Tribolium castaneum: one gene and its partners. Each later gene encodes a partner of the first gene's protein in a complex. Links are inferred from orthologs where the notes say so. Each region holds a gene or a part of one and is shown in the gene's direction. Other genes may lie near its edges.

Evidence for each region.
Region 2: the proteins of IntS1 (region 1) and IntS2 are in contact, whole or in part, in a cryo-EM structure (PDB 8RC4), measured with the Homo sapiens proteins. The link is inferred for Tribolium castaneum from reciprocal best matches to the Homo sapiens genes INTS1 and INTS2. Residues at the interface, in NP_001073922.2 of Homo sapiens: Gly561, Ile562, Ala563, Trp564, Asp565, Lys566, Gly567, Ser982, His1055, Met1056, Thr1058, Pro1060, Glu1095, Arg1096, Thr1098, Ile1099, His1102, Leu1107, Arg1225, Ser1250, Phe1251, Gly1252, Ile1253, Tyr1285, His1288, Glu1291, Val1292, Gln1293, Glu1295, Arg1296; in NP_065799.2 of Homo sapiens: Pro40, Leu54, Lys69, Leu72, Arg73, Leu75, Ser76, Gly77, Val78, Glu79, Val81, Asn82, Val85, Gly125, Thr127, Leu128, Glu131, His132, Glu166, Val172, Tyr173, Glu176, Arg322, Gln325, Gln326, Arg329, Gly400, Lys402, Thr769, Met772.
Region 3: the proteins of IntS1 (region 1) and defl are in contact, whole or in part, in a cryo-EM structure (PDB 8RC4), measured with the Homo sapiens proteins. The link is inferred for Tribolium castaneum from reciprocal best matches to the Homo sapiens genes INTS1 and INTS7. Residues at the interface, in NP_001073922.2 of Homo sapiens: Leu1378, Gln1381, Gln1382, Gly1385, Gln1386, Ala1389, His1429, Phe1430, Leu1431, Cys1433, Pro1434, Arg1437, Gln1438, Cys1440, Gln1441, Pro1476, Ala1479, Gln1480, Met1483, Leu1484, Gln1487, Arg1552, Pro1554, His1555, Leu1556, Glu1557, Glu1558, Pro1613, Ser1614, Gly1616; in NP_056249.1 of Homo sapiens: His150, Asp151, Leu187, Ala188, Thr189, Pro190, Val191, Lys194, Thr223, Ser224, Tyr225, Pro226, Ser227, Thr228, Asn262, Asp263, Pro264, Arg265, Lys266, Pro303, Tyr304, Gln349, Glu350, Cys352, Tyr353, His354, Asn355, Arg357, Ala360, Gln384.

Annotation. Positions count from the first base shown.
Region 1 is NC_087397.1:1,922,606-1,927,442, reverse strand, and holds the end of IntS1 (integrator complex subunit 1), read left to right. Parts: intron 1-151; coding exon 152-1,799; intron 1,800-1,843; coding exon 1,844-2,230; intron 2,231-2,278; coding exon 2,279-3,258; intron 3,259-3,304; coding exon 3,305-3,863; 3' UTR 3,864-3,895; downstream 3,896-4,837. Other genes in the region: DNA helicase MCM9, read right to left, coding at 3,896-4,837. UniProt on the Homo sapiens protein: Component of the integrator complex, a multiprotein complex that terminates RNA polymerase II (Pol II) transcription in the promoter-proximal region of genes.
Region 2 is NC_087401.1:16,828,144-16,833,073, forward strand, and holds the start of IntS2 (integrator complex subunit 2), read left to right. Parts: upstream 1-2,018; 5' UTR 2,019-2,134; coding exon 2,135-4,930. Other genes in the region: Arc42 (short-chain specific acyl-CoA dehydrogenase, mitochondrial), read right to left, coding at 1-137, 186-366, 412-788, 844-991; RpS27 (small ribosomal subunit protein eS27-like), read left to right, coding at 1,344-1,598. UniProt on the Homo sapiens protein: Component of the integrator complex, a multiprotein complex that terminates RNA polymerase II (Pol II) transcription in the promoter-proximal region of genes.
Region 3 is NC_087397.1:6,155,347-6,160,060, reverse strand, and holds the start of defl (integrator complex subunit 7), read left to right. Parts: upstream 1-1,375; 5' UTR 1,376-1,570; intron 1,571-1,625; 5' UTR 1,626-1,637; coding exon 1,638-1,728; intron 1,729-1,774; coding exon 1,775-1,904; intron 1,905-1,952; coding exon 1,953-2,237; intron 2,238-2,283; coding exon 2,284-2,530; intron 2,531-2,578; coding exon 2,579-2,759; intron 2,760-2,808; coding exon 2,809-2,965; intron 2,966-4,072; coding exon 4,073-4,290; intron 4,291-4,341; coding exon 4,342-4,714. UniProt on the Homo sapiens protein: Component of the integrator complex, a multiprotein complex that terminates RNA polymerase II (Pol II) transcription in the promoter-proximal region of genes.

The DNA of each region.
Region 1 (4,837 bases):
ACCGTTGTTCCATCACAGTCAGCTCAACTTTTCTACATTTTTTTCCAAATAATTTGTGAATTTTTACTATATTTTTTGAGTGCGATTTTGTATCTCGTTTCGCTCCGACCTCCAATCCCCGTATACTTGACCCTAACTATCCCCATTTTAGTCACTTTTCGTTTCCCCCGCCCACCATGACCTCCCTGGACGAAGACTACCAGTCCCGCGAGCAGCAAATCCTCGCCCTTGAGAAGCAAAAAATCCTGGAATTTGAATCACACCTCGCGGCCGCGAGCACTAAAATGGAAATCACCGAACAGAGCAGTCTCCTATTGCCCCAATTAATGGAGTTGCGGCCTGAGGGCGAAGCCCGAAGGCCCCCCCAAGCCGTCCTCGACCAGCTCCAACACTTGAACAACACGCATCGCATGGGACATTTATTGTGCCGCTCGCGGAACCCCGATTTTCTATTGGACATTATGTCGCGGCAAGGGGGCACCGCGCATATGCCGTGGCTGGCCGAGCTGGTGCACAATTCGGAGGGGGCGTTGGCCCACCTGCCTGTGCAATGTCTGTGCGAGTATCTCCTGTCGACGACACCGACGGAGAAATTGACGAAACATGGCCAGCTTTTGGCGCATTTGCGGACGGTGGTTAATGAGAATGATCCGCAGACTGCCTGTGAGGTTTTGGAGTATTTGTTCAGGCGGTTGACGTCCGATCATGGGGCGAGTCGGACGCAGGCCACCAAAGGCTTGAATTTGATTTTGGCCGAAGGGGAGGAAAGCGAGACGAATAATACGAACTGGTTGACGAGTTACATAACACATTTTCCACACTTTACGATGATTAAACCAGTGCTTATACAGTTTTTGCGGCAAGCCTTGCAAATTGAGACAAATCCGGCGCGGGTTTCGAGTTATATCAATTTTTTGGCAACGCAGGATTGTAACGATTCGTTTACGGAACTGCACGAATTAATCGCCGATTTATCGTCGGTTATTATCGAGAGACACAGCGTGGCTTCGTACGTGTTGCCAGGGCCGGACAACCAAACTTTGAAGCACCTTTTGACCATTTTTGCGAGTCATATTCAGAAAGCGCAGGAATTCTCGGAGGATATTTACAGTTCGGTGCAAAACTACAGCGAGTATGTTTTGGTGACTTGGGTGACTGGGGAACAATGCCACATGCAGACTTTAGTAATACACGCAGCTATTGTGTTACTGACTTACGGTCCTTTGGAGAATTTTGAGCCGTTCGAGACTTTGTTAAATTTTTGGTTTCCGGCGAACGCCGAACAACCACAAGCCTACACACCTGATACAAACGAACGAACGTCGTATCTCCCTGATTGGATGAAACTGCGGATGATTCGGTCAAACGTCCCACGATTGGTTGACGCAGCCATTGAAAAATTAGAGCCGCCAAAGTTGGTCCTTTTTATACAATCGTTCGGAATACCGACAAATTCCATCAGTAAATTGCTGAGTACTTTGGACAAAGCCACACTTTTGGACCCGAAACTGGTCGTGGACTCAGTTTTGGACAAAACTTACATGATTCAATTGGTGGAAGTCCAAAACAAAAGAGGCGCAGTGGGTGGTGACACCTTTGTCAAGGCTATCGAGATGCAAATGCCCGTTGTACAAGACATTGATGTTAAAATCGAAATCGAGAGTAAAAAACAATTACCCAACTTAGTAAAAACCCAACAGATTGTCACAAATAGCGGCGATATTATCAATTTGTTGAATAATATTTTTAGCCCAAACTATGGCGGTTCGAAAGATCGGGACATTGTCACTGTGACCAAGGTAAAGGTAAAAGTCCGAGACAATTCATACGATTCCAATTTTAGATGGCGTTTGAGAAACAATCACTGGACGTTATTTTCAATTATTTGAAATCACTACCGATGAATTTCATAGCACCTGTGCTCCATAAACACAATTCGATTTCAACGCTTTTCCGCCTGTTATTTTCGTCAAAAGACCACCTCATTGACAAAATAACCATGGCTACGGTTTTCCTCAACCACATGACAGACGTTCACAATATTACTTATTCGGTTTTGAGGCAATTCTTAAACGAAAACGACCAAAAAGTCAAAACTGAAGAACAAGGCGAACGGAAATTGGTAAGTATGATATCGGAGGCGAAAACACAGGAAGAAAAAACTGACATGATGGTTGACTGGTTATCAACAATCCAACTGGAAGTGGCTTACTCGCAAAAACAATTGAAAGTGAGTGTTTTTTTTTTCAAAATCACGATCAATCGAATTATTTTATAGGAAGATTTGTTGTTTTCGCGCGACAACTTGCCGTTTAGGCCGCTTCTTATGTCGCTGGTTTTGCAAAGGGCGAGTTGGCAGAGCCTCCACGTGATAATGAATTATTTGCTAAAAGAGGACAATTCGGACATTTGCCCTGTTTCCGCCCTTGATTTCCTCTGTGCCCTCACCCAGAGCCCGAAGCTGTGGCAGGGGCGCGATAAAGCCATTCCCAAACACCACCATTCGGAGGACGTTTTTGATTTGGGCAAAGACAAGGCCCTGATCCTTGTCGGTTATATTTTGGAGGAAAGCAAGCAAAACCAGGCAAACTGGTCGAAGAAAATGGAATCGCGGCTCGTCCTCTTACTGCAGTGTATCCGAAACTGCGCCCCGGAGATTTTGGGGACACTTTTGGAGAAGTCCGACTGTGATACGCACTGTCGGGAGCTTCTCTTGATGATTTACATGTCGCTGCCGTATTCCGGTCAAGATTTGATCAATAGCAAAGATAACATTTCGAAGCAGGCGTATGCGAAAAATTGTACGAGTTCAGCCGATGAAATCTCGCATTGTTTGTTGAGTGCGTTAGCAGCGACTCCGAGGAGTAAGGACTGGCCCCGGAAGAGCCAGGATTTGGAGCTTTGTGCCCGGAAATTGGCAGCGACACATCCGGTTTTGGTCCTGCGACAACTCCCGATGTTGGCCGGGAGTTTGAAAGGAAGGGCACAGTATGACTGGGGTGTTTTGAAAAATAGAGGACACTTGTTGCTGTTCGGACAAGTTTTGGGGCTTTTAGAACTGTTGGAGCCGATAGTTTTCGAGCAAAGTCGCACCTTGTGTGACATTCTAGATTCCTATTTTCTCCTGTTACAATATCACGGGCATATGAAAGATTTGTCGGTTCTCGTGCAAAGAATTATCACTTTTATACAAAACTGGATGACTAATGACATCAAGGCGGCGTCCCGCTATTTGCAAGAGCATGGCTCAGTTTTACTGTAGGTTTTTCAATTTTTTAAGTTGTGTCTAGAGTGTTTTTTTTAGTGATATTCAGATGATTCAACCAGGGGTGCGCCCCCTTCTCTCCAACGTGACTCTCCCGGTGGGGGATTCCAGCACTCCCCCCGAGCTACTCGTCCGTACTGCCATGTCCCCCATGATGGACCCCTTGCCCCCACATTGGTCCCAACTCCTCACAGCTATCCAGACTTCGGAGAATCTCAACATTTTGCAAGAACTGGACCACATAACAAACAAGAAACCGCATTTGCTCGAGACACCGTCTCAACACTTGTACAATTATATTAGTTCGTCTAGTGGGGCAGTGCGGTCGTTGGCTTTGACACTAATAGTGCGGTGGTTAAAATTTAATCCGAACGCAGCATCAGATGCACTTCCAGTGATCTTAACTTGTCTGGATAGTAGAAATGGTGACGTGGTCGCGAGTGTTTTGGACCGACTTTCGGACCTGGTTTCAGTTATGCAGGAGTATGGCAAGGTTATTCTGACCAGGGTTTTTCAATTAGGAATGGAATCGACGCTAAATACGACCAGTAACATTACCAAAAGTATTGATTTGTTGAATTTGCAATCGGGATGTTAAGTAGGTCTGATTTATTTTATTAAATATAAAAATTAAATATCCAAGTCTAAATCATCTAAATCCTCAAGGGATTCGAACATTTCTACATGCTTTGATGCTTTTTTAAACTTGAATTTTTTAACATTCTCCTCAGGTTCTAACATCGTGCTAGATTTAACATCCTTGAACGAAATTTCTAAATTTTCACACGTAGTTTCATCGGCAATAGGAGGTCGATCTTCTTTGGGAACAAACCGAAATTTATGCAAAAATTGGCGAGTTTTTGTCCGCTGTGAAGGCACTTGACTTGGTTCGGTTTCTTCGGGTTTATTTTGTTCAATCGTTACGCCAATTTCATTATCCATTCGAAAAATGTCGTTAACACTCGGCATGGCATTGAGAGCGGCTAGATCGTCCTTTATTTCGTTTTCCTTCGATTTTAGTTTAATCCTCTTCGGGTTCGGCGGATTCTCCCTCTTGTTTCGTTTCTTGTTTGAGACAGGTTCTTCCGTAATGTCTTTATTGACATTTTTCGTTATGTTTCGTTTATTTTTTATTATCTCTTCTTCATTTGCTATCGTAATACTTTCTCCTATTTGTTTTTTTCTGGTGTCTTTTTCATCTAATTCAATTTTATCTTTATTAACGTGCGAACTACTAGGCCTTGCGTCACTATTTTTGTTGTGAGCTGTGTTTATTTTTTCATTTTCATTAATCTTTGACGTGCTTGGCTGTGGCTCACAAACCTTAATTATTTTTTCAAACATTTTTGTATTTTTGTGAACACAATTCGCGTTCCCTGGACAGAGGGCACAAACCCCCTTTGCAAATTCTTTTTCAAGTAAATCATTAAGTTGTAATTCCTGGAGCACAATTTGTGCCAATTCTCGGTAGTTTTGTTCGGGATCGAGAGGAAAGTCTCTCCTGGTATCGAAATTTAAATTAAAAACTGAAGAATCGCATTCCATTGCCGTTTCTACTAAAATCACAGCTAA
Region 2 (4,930 bases), on another chromosome or scaffold:
CAAAAGGTTGGCTTTGGGGACTTGGCAGTCTTCGAAGATGAGGGAGCACGTGGAGGAGCCCCGAATCCCCAACTTGTCCTCCTTTTTGCCCAGTTCGAGCCCCTTTGTTGGCTTGGGGACGATTATCGCCGAAATGCCTGAATAAAAAATTAGAGTGGTTATGCAACCAATTATACAACCCGCACCTTTATGTTTTAAACTTTTGTCTGTTGTGGCCAAAACCACGGCTGCTTCACTCTCAAAGCCGTTAGTGATCCAGGCCTTGGTCCCATTGAGCATCCACTGGTCCCCGTCCAGCCTCGCCGTCGTGGAGGCAGCCCCCGCATCGGACCCGTTCCCCGGCTCGGACAGGGCAAAGCACCCCACCTGTAACACCAAATGAGCCCCTTTGCCTCAACTAACACAACACACCTTATCGCCGTTCGTAAACGGCGCGATAAATTTCTCCTTCTGTTCTTTATTTCCGAAATATTGAATCGGCCCTAAATACAACGAATTATTAACAGACATAATAACACCGGCACTGGCGCACCCTCTGGAAATCTCCTCCATGGCGATGGCGTACGCCACGTAATCTAGGCCCGTGCCCCCGAATTCTTCAGGGACGGCCACGGCCATGAGCCCCAATTCGCCCATTTTGCGGATCTGTTCTTTGGGGTACAGGTGCTCACGGTCGATTTTCGCCGCGATGGGCTTTAGCTCGTTGTCGGCAAAGTCGCGACAGGTCTTTTGCAACATTTGGTGCGTCTCAGAGAGGGCTGCCAGGGAGGCTATGCCCCGCGATTTGACTGCAATCAAGACGGCCGTGGATAAACAAATTTAGACGAATTAGGTAAAAATTACCATTTTGGGCCACAATTCGCGTGAAAACGAACATGATGTACTGTAAACTACACGGACGTGTACTTTGCTCGTTGATTATTAAATTGTTTAGTAAAAATTCCGTAAGTGGTTCCAAGGTTAGGTCAGCTGTCAAAACTGACAGCTGCATTTTTTACGAATTAATGGGCCCCCATTAAAGTCAGAGCCACGTTTTTATTGAGTCCAAGGGGCGCACGGTTAAATGGTCAATCAATAATTTATTTATTTATCAATTAAGGCGGGTTCTTTCGGCTCGTTGTGTTGGTAAGACGGCGTTATGGTGGTACCGCCTGTCATCTGTCACTTTCCTTTACACGGTTGATAGCCGAAGTCACCACGTGCGTTGTGGAAAAAATCAGCCTTTTTGAGTGTCCCAAGCGTTTAAAAACGTACGTAAAAGCGTAAAACGACCAAAAACATGCCTAGTCAAGTGTTTGTGGTGAAATTTTGGCGTATTTTGAGCAATGTTTGTGTTTTTCCAGATGCCGTTAGCAGTCGATTTATTGCACCCTTCTGCCGAAAAACAGAAGAAATCGCATAAGAAGAAGAGGTTGGTGCAACATCCCAATAGTTACTTCATGGACGTAAAATGTCCAGGATGTTACGCCATCTCTACCATCTTCTCCCATGCCCAGTCTGCAGTCCCCTGCAAAGGGTGCTCCACCATCCTGTGCACATCCACCGGGGGCAAAGCCCGACTCACGGAGGGCTGCAGCTTCAGGAGAAAGCAACATTAATGTAGTGTATTCATTTTTTCTAATAAATTTTATTGGGAGTAGCCGCTTTTTCATTCATCCTTCCAGCCACCGAATGGCCTTATTATCTCTTACACGCAAAAAAGGGAAAATGTAGCAAAATTGTGCAATGTTCTAGCGCCCGGAAATTGGCCTAGTGCCAAAAAATCAATAAACACAAGACCAAAAACCAAAAAGTCGTCGCAATCTATTCATTCAACCATGTCATTTGGCCCCAAATCCACAAAAAAAATAACTGCAGGTTCAGACCAGTTGAGACACGTTAGGCCAGTTGACACTTGTCAAAAAACATAACCACACTTATCAATTAATTAACGACTATCCAAGCCGTAGAATGCCCCCAAAGGGCGCAATTAAAGCCAAAACCCCTCAACCAGCCTCAATAAATAAAACAATCAAGTATTAATTATCGTTTTATTCAAAATCGTGGTCAAGCCGGAGCCGGTAAAGTAGATCGCTGTCGCGAGAGCGCACATAACCCCAAAAGTGCCGTAAACAAAGCCGGTTTGTGCGTGAAAATGTCGTTTAAGAAAGGCGTGGACCCCAAGGTGTTCCGCGCCATCCAAAACGTGGACATGCACCAGCTGTCCGAATGCACCGAGGTGGAGATCCGCCCCGTGTTGCCCTGTCTCGTGCGAATGGGGCTCATCTCGCCCCTCGACACGTCGAAAAAATGCACCACCATGAAGGTCGACATTCTCACAATCGTGTCCGGGATGGAACTGGTCAATTCGATCGTTGCCCTTCTTTCCATCGATTTCCATCGACTGGAAACCGAGGTCAAGAAGGAGCAGCAGCTGCGCCAGAAGGGCGTAGCCCTCCAGAACGACTCGATCCTGATCGGCAACTTATCAAACACCAGCATGGCCTTGGAGTACGAACGCAGCGACATGACCCGCCGTTTGAGCATCTTACTCGGGGAACTACTCTACGTCCAGAGCCAAATCCAGGACGAAAACTCGGACACGAGCTACATCAAGCCCTCGGAACTGTTCGACAACGACATTTTCGCCGAGGAATTGTCCGATATTATCTGCATAGCCTTGGCTGAACTCCCCATAACTCTAAACATTTTGACAATCACTGAAACCCTCCTCCACTTGCACAACGGCCCGCCCATCATTTGCCGAATCGTGGCGAACTTCCCCGACTGCTTCCGAGAGGTTTGCACCTACTTGATCCAAACGGGGGAAAAACAGGAAGAAACCAAACTGAGCACAGTCCGAGCCGCCACGATTTCCCTCCTCTGTAAAATGAATCCGAGCCAGGCTTTGACAATCCGAAGCAAGTGCGTCGAATTGTGCCGAATGCCCGCGCTCGCAATCACACTATCTCTGGACGGCGGGGAGGGGGACATGGTGGCGTTCATCTCCGGGCTGTTGCTAGGCAACGACCAAACAATACGCAACTGGATCGCGTTATTTATCCGGACTGGACAGAAAAAGAAGGGGGAGATTTCAAGCACCGCCCTTTTGCAACTAAGGGAGGAGTTGTTACGTCGCTTGCACGTGATTCTCGCCGCTTCTGTCGAAGGCCACCTATTGGACAGTCTCGTGGTTCAAGGCTCCGCCCTCTTGCGCCTCTATTGTGCGCTTCGCGGGATCGCAGCAATCAAGTTTCAGGAGGATGAAGTCACGGCATTGGTGCGTCTGTTGACGTCACACCCAAGCCCCACCCCGGCGGGCGTTCGCTTCGTTTCCATTGGTCTGTGCATGTTGATTGCCTGCCCCTCGCTGATTTCGCTGCAAGAGCACGAGCGACGTAGCATCGAGTGGGTGCAATGGTTGGTGAAGGAGGAGGCGTATTTTGAGTCGGCCAGTGGCGTTACTGCCAGTTTTGGCGAAATGTTACTACTGATGGCTATACATTTTCATAGTAACCAGTTGAGTGCCATCTGTGATTTGGTGTGTGCCACTTTGGGGATGAAAATCCCCATCAGACATAACAACATGACAAGGATGAAGCAAGTCTTCACGCAGGAGATTTTCACGGAACAAGTTGTAACCGCACATGCGGTTAAGGTTCCGGTTACGAACTCGTTAAGTGCGAATATGACCGGGTTTTTACCCATACATTGCATCCATCAGTTGCTTAAATCGCGCGCGTTTGCCAAACACAACGTGAATATAAAAAACTGGATCTATAAGCAGATCTGTACGAGTGTTAGTCCCTTACATCCAGTGTTGCCAATGCTAGTGGAAGTGTACGTTAACAGTGTTATAATGCCAACCTCACGGAACACTGAGACTAATAAGCCGTTGAGTGAGAATGAGATACGGCGCGTGTTTCAAAGTTCGATCTTTGGACAGTATTTCGACCACAAAAAGTCGATTTTTACCATGGATTTTGACCTAAATAGTGAGAATCAGGACGTTGTGGTGGATGGTACAAGTCTCACCCCACAACTCCTCCTCCTCTACTATCTCCTCCTGTACGAGGACTGTCGATTGGTTAACGCCCACATTTTGGCCGCGTTTAACCGCAAAATCAAGTTGTATAGTTCCGAATTTTTATCGGAACTACCAATCAAATACTTGCTACACCACGCCCAAAAAGACCAAAGCTCCTATTCGGGTCTTTTCGGGCCGTTGCTCAAACTCCTAGCTACGCATTTCCCCCACTTGACACTAGTGGAGGATTGGTTGGACGATATGTCCATCAAAACGGAGCATAAGCCAACCCACGTGACGCAAATAAGCGTCATTGAGGCTTTCAATGACTTGGACACTAACCCATCAAAGTGTGCCAAGCTTATGCAAACTTTACTCAAACAGCAAGCCATAGATATATGGCCATTTGCCGAGATTTTCACACAATTCGCCCGCAAGATCCTAAATGACAATGTCCCACGCTACTTACAAGACCTGTACAGAGACGTATGGTTACGCTTTAATACGGTACTTCCCCGCCGATTGTGGGTTCTAACCGTCAAAAACCTAGTCGATGATTTCTCAAACCTGACACGAATCGATGTCGCTGAGGATCCTCTCCAGATCATGCGATGCGATGAGCGTGTTTTTCGCTGTGCCCCTTTATATGCGATTGTTTTGAGGGTGTTGAGAGCAAGTCTCGCGTCGTCTCGCAGCCAACTAATGCAACATTTGCAAGCTAATCCGAGATTGGATCATGCGGGGCAAGTTTTAAATGAGAGTGATAGAGAGGAGATGTGTCGGGCGACCATTGCAGCACAGGAAAGTGCAGCTGTTCAAATGCTACTAGAAACTTGTATTGAGACAGATGAGGATCGTACGATTGGGGGGCAAAAGTGGGCACTTCAGGAAGTTAGGTCGTTGGTTTGTAGTTATCTACACCAG
Region 3 (4,714 bases), about 4.2 Mb from region 1:
ATTTTTCTCATTTCCTTTGTACAAACGAACCTGTGATATGAAATTTTGGTGTCAAAATTAGTAGTATCGCCACAAGTTGTGTTTTTAAATCTCCAGAAAATTCAGTTTTAAAAGTGAGGTTATGTTATCATTTGGAAATATGAAATCTTTCACTATTATGGATTTTGTGTCTGTTTCTGCTCTTTTAGAACGTTATTAATTATTATTAAATTGAATTGAAAGGCAGATAAATCTACCTTTGAGTCAATGATATAAACTTCAGTGTGATTTATTGAAATGTATATAGGGCACAAATAAACTTTTCGTGTTAAACATTTTGATTAAAAAGGGTATTTAATCGTTTATAAAGGGCATGTTAAGGTGTGTTAAGTTTACCACATAATAAAACATAAAGTACAACAACTTTTCTATAAAAGCATTTTGCAAAACTTTTATTCATTATTTTCACTATTTTCCTCTTTTCATTAGTACAAACGAGCCGGTGAATGAAATTTTGGTGTGAAAATTAGTGGTATTGCCACAAATTGTGTTAATTTTAGGTCTCCAGAAAATTCGGTTTTAAAAGTAGGGTTATGTTATCATTTGGAAATGTTAAATCTTTCATTTTTATGGATTTCGTGTTCGTTTCTGCTCTTTTAGAGCGTTTTTAATTTTGATTGAATATATTATGGGCAGATAAATCTACCTTTGAGTCAACGACTTAAACTTCAGTGTGATTTATTGAAATGTATATAGGACAAAATTGAACTTTTCGTGTTAAACATTTTGATTAAAAAGGGTGTTTAATCGTTTATAAAGGGCGTGTTGACGTGTGCTAAATTTACCACGTAATAAAACATAAAGTACAACAACTTTTCTATAAGAGCATTTTGCAAAATTCTTATTCATTATTTTTACTATTTTCCTCCTTTTCTGTAATAACTCATTCGCTTTTCGGGGGCCATTCTGAATACTGTAATGAATTTTTAAAGATAAAGTTTGCGAAATATGAAAATTTTAAAGAATTTTTAAAAATTCATTAAGATCTCAAGGGGACTTTATCCGAACATGATTTTTTTACAGTCGAAGGCCCTATCGAAGGGCTTAATCCCCTGCAAAAATAAAGAAAATTGCAGGATATAAAGGGGGTGAAAAAAAACAGTTTGCGTTGCTTGAATATGAGAATAAAAAATGCAGAAATTAAATACAGGAGATGTTCTACAAATGTGAGATGCAAGTCAGCGTAACAGCTTATTGATGTTTTTATAATGATTTACAATTATTTTGATAATTTGCCTGGTGTGAACTTGGCTGTAGAAAACGAGAATAGTGGGGACATGGTGCTAGCTCCATGCACGCAGCGATTGTCTGGTCGACTGTAATGTTCTTGGTGCCAGCACCATTTTTTTCTCTCTTATTCTATGTTCCCAACATAGGTTAAACTAACCTAAAAACTATGCTAAAAACACCAAAAAATAAAAGTTTGGATGTTGAACGCGTTTATTGATTTTGTGACATGAATGCCGATGTGGCCCCCACTTTGTAATTTTCTCACGAGTTGATGACCCAACTGGCGTGAAATATTTCACCCGTAAGATTAAAAAAATTCCAGGTTATATTTGTTTTGCCTACTAACAACATTCCAGCGATTTTCCAAAATGCTGAGCGTCCGCGTGAGTGCCTTCAATGAAAACGGTCTCGGAGAGCCCGAGCAAGACGCCAATTCGGCTTTAACCGAGCTTGACAAAGGTTCAAAGCGCGGTATTGAGTGCCTTCTTTAAAAGTGTCTTTTTAGGGCTCCGGTCCGGTAAAGTGGGCGAGCAATGCGAAGCAATTGTTCGTTTTCCAAAGTTATTCGAAAAATATCCTTTCCCCATCCTCATCAATGCGTCATTACTGAAATTAGCGGAAGTTTTTCGCATGGGGTACAACTCTCTACTGTAAATAACTCTATTTAATGGCACTGTTTTTAGTAACAATTTCCTAAGACTGTGCGTGTTGCGTGTGTGCCAACAAAGCGAAAAACATCTAGATAAGATTTCGAGTGTTGATGAGTTCGTTAGAAGGATTTACAGTGTGATTCATAGTAATGACCCTATTGCTCGTGCTGTGACGCTGAGGACGTTTGGGGCCGTGGCTGCCATCATTCCGGAGCGACAGCAAGTGCACCACAGTATTAGAAGCAGTCTAGATTCTCACGATAATGTGGAAGTCCAAGCTGCAATTTACGCCGCTATTCAGTTTGCCGCCCAATCAAAGTAGTAAAAGTTGCTCAGAATTCATTATTTTAACAATAATTTGTAGAACATTCGCCGTAAGCATGTGCAACAAAGTCTCTGACATGATCCAAGGCCAGTCAACGCCTGCCAGCATGAAATTACAATTAATCCCAATTTTACAATACATGCACCATGATACCAACACGGCTGCGATGGTGAGGACACTCTGTATCGATTTACTGCCAAGTTATCCAGCCAAAGACTTCGTTTTGGTCACTCTAAACACACTTACCCAGTTGGCAACGGCGACTCTAGTTGACGTCCCGAGTCAAGTAATTTCATTAATTTGTCTTCCAATATTCTCCAAAACTGTCTTTTAGGTCAATTTACTGTTGCAATATTTACGCAAAGACTTGGGGAGTGAAGTCAAGTCGAGATGTTTGCAATTTTTGTACCAGTTCGCCAAACCGGGGGCTCATTTGTGGCCCCCGGGGGCCACCAACAATATCATAGATTTTACTTTACACACGCATCAAGCCCGGTTATTAACCCTGGCTCTTGGTAAGACGATTTGAGGTCTTGTTTTGCAAACTGATTAATTGATGATTAGGTGTGATTCAAGTCTTGACTGAATCGCCCCGAATGTGTCATGATTATCGCGACAGCAATTCAAAATTGAGAGAATTGTGTATGAAACATTGTTATTCGTCACAGCCTACAGTCGCAGTGCAAGCTATACAAATTTTGACACAACTTTTATGCTACTGGTGAGTTTTCTCATAGGTACGGAGGGCAAAACTAAGGGGCGAAATGATGTTTAAAATCGTTGTCTTAAATTATTTGATGCGGGAATGTTAAGACTTAATTTTTTAGCAAGCTGTGAAACAAATAAAATTTGCCCAAACAAGAGATTTTTTTAATTTGAAATTTGTTCCATATTTATTTCAGTATCGAATTCGCCGTAATTTATTTATTAATAATTATAGAATTATAGAAGTTTTTTGAAGCTAAGGAGATGATAAATCTATAAATAAAAAATAAAATAAGTACAAGGTGTTAATAATACCATATACAGTGTGATTTTTAAAAAACGAGCTGCCCTGAGTATCAGAAAATAAACAAAAAATTAAAACATCCCGAGACAGGTCAATTTTTATTTAACCAGAGACACCTTTTAGTGTTTTATTTGACTCACTTTGACTTTTCAGCTTGATTTTAATTATGTTAATTAGCGTTTTCATACAAATTATAAAACTAATAAATTCAAATGATCACATGGTACAGACAACTCTTCAAAATACCTCAAATAAAGGTATTTTCAACTCTTATTAGAGATTGGAAATGTGCCATTAAATTTTTAGATAATAATGTAATCTTTCTAAAAAGAAAAAACTAAAGACTGACCCCTAAATCCGGATTGTTTCCTTTTTTTCTCCCTTGAAATCCTATCCAGTAGCATACACTAACCACAATCAACACACACTAGCCAACGAATTGTGTAAGAATATGGATAACACGTTACCAGTACAAAATATACTATTTGAGATAACTAATTATTACGAGGTGGAAAACAAAGAAGTTTGTCTGATTCACTGATTTTTGTTACGCCTACGTCACTTTTTTTTTGTTAAAACTTATTTGTTGAGCAAAAATTCCAGAGAAACCATTTTAACGAAATCTTAATAAGTATTTGTAATTACACTATTCTAATACACATTTAAAATAAAGGCAATTTTTCTGTATTTTTTTTTAATTATTTGATTCTTGCTTCAAATTAAATTGTCGTTTTATTGTGCAAAATTTTAAAACTGACTTTTACACCTGTCGCCCCCTAATAGTTTAGTCCTCCGTTACCCAGGAAGAACAAAAAACAGTCGTATTTTTAGCTACAAGGAGAAACTGGAGACTGAAAGAGCGGACGAAGTGATTTCGGCCCTCGAAACTTTAATTTTGCTTTTGACTTTTTCGAACGACAAACACCCAAAACAGCTCAAGCTGGCACTGAAATGTGCTGTTCGACTGTGCGAAGCGCGGAGAGAATATTGCGAGACGTTTGTGGAACTGCTCGGCACTCGCCTCGACAACATACACAGTATGTTATTTCAATTATGGTTCAAGAACAAATCAAATCGATTTTTTACAGACGACTGTACCATCGTCATCTGTGAGACTTTGGGGGCTATTGGGGGCCTCAAACCCGACACTTTACTCTCGCTTCTCGCCAGTATTCTCAACTTATTGCGCGCTTTATCCGAAATCGACCAACCAACGGAGCAACAAACGCGCATCAAAATCATGCTTTGTACGCTGGTTTTCCAAAGCATGTCTGACTACACCTGGAACGAAGAAACCGAAAGTGCGATTTTTTGCGTTATTGAAAATAACAATCTGTGGGCGAATTATTGCATAGCGCGGGCTGCGGTCAGATACGGCCACCACAAAATCGCAAATACGATTTTCAACCAACTGACGGAACAAGTCAGTTCTGAACATTTCCATTTCTGGTTGGTTTGTTT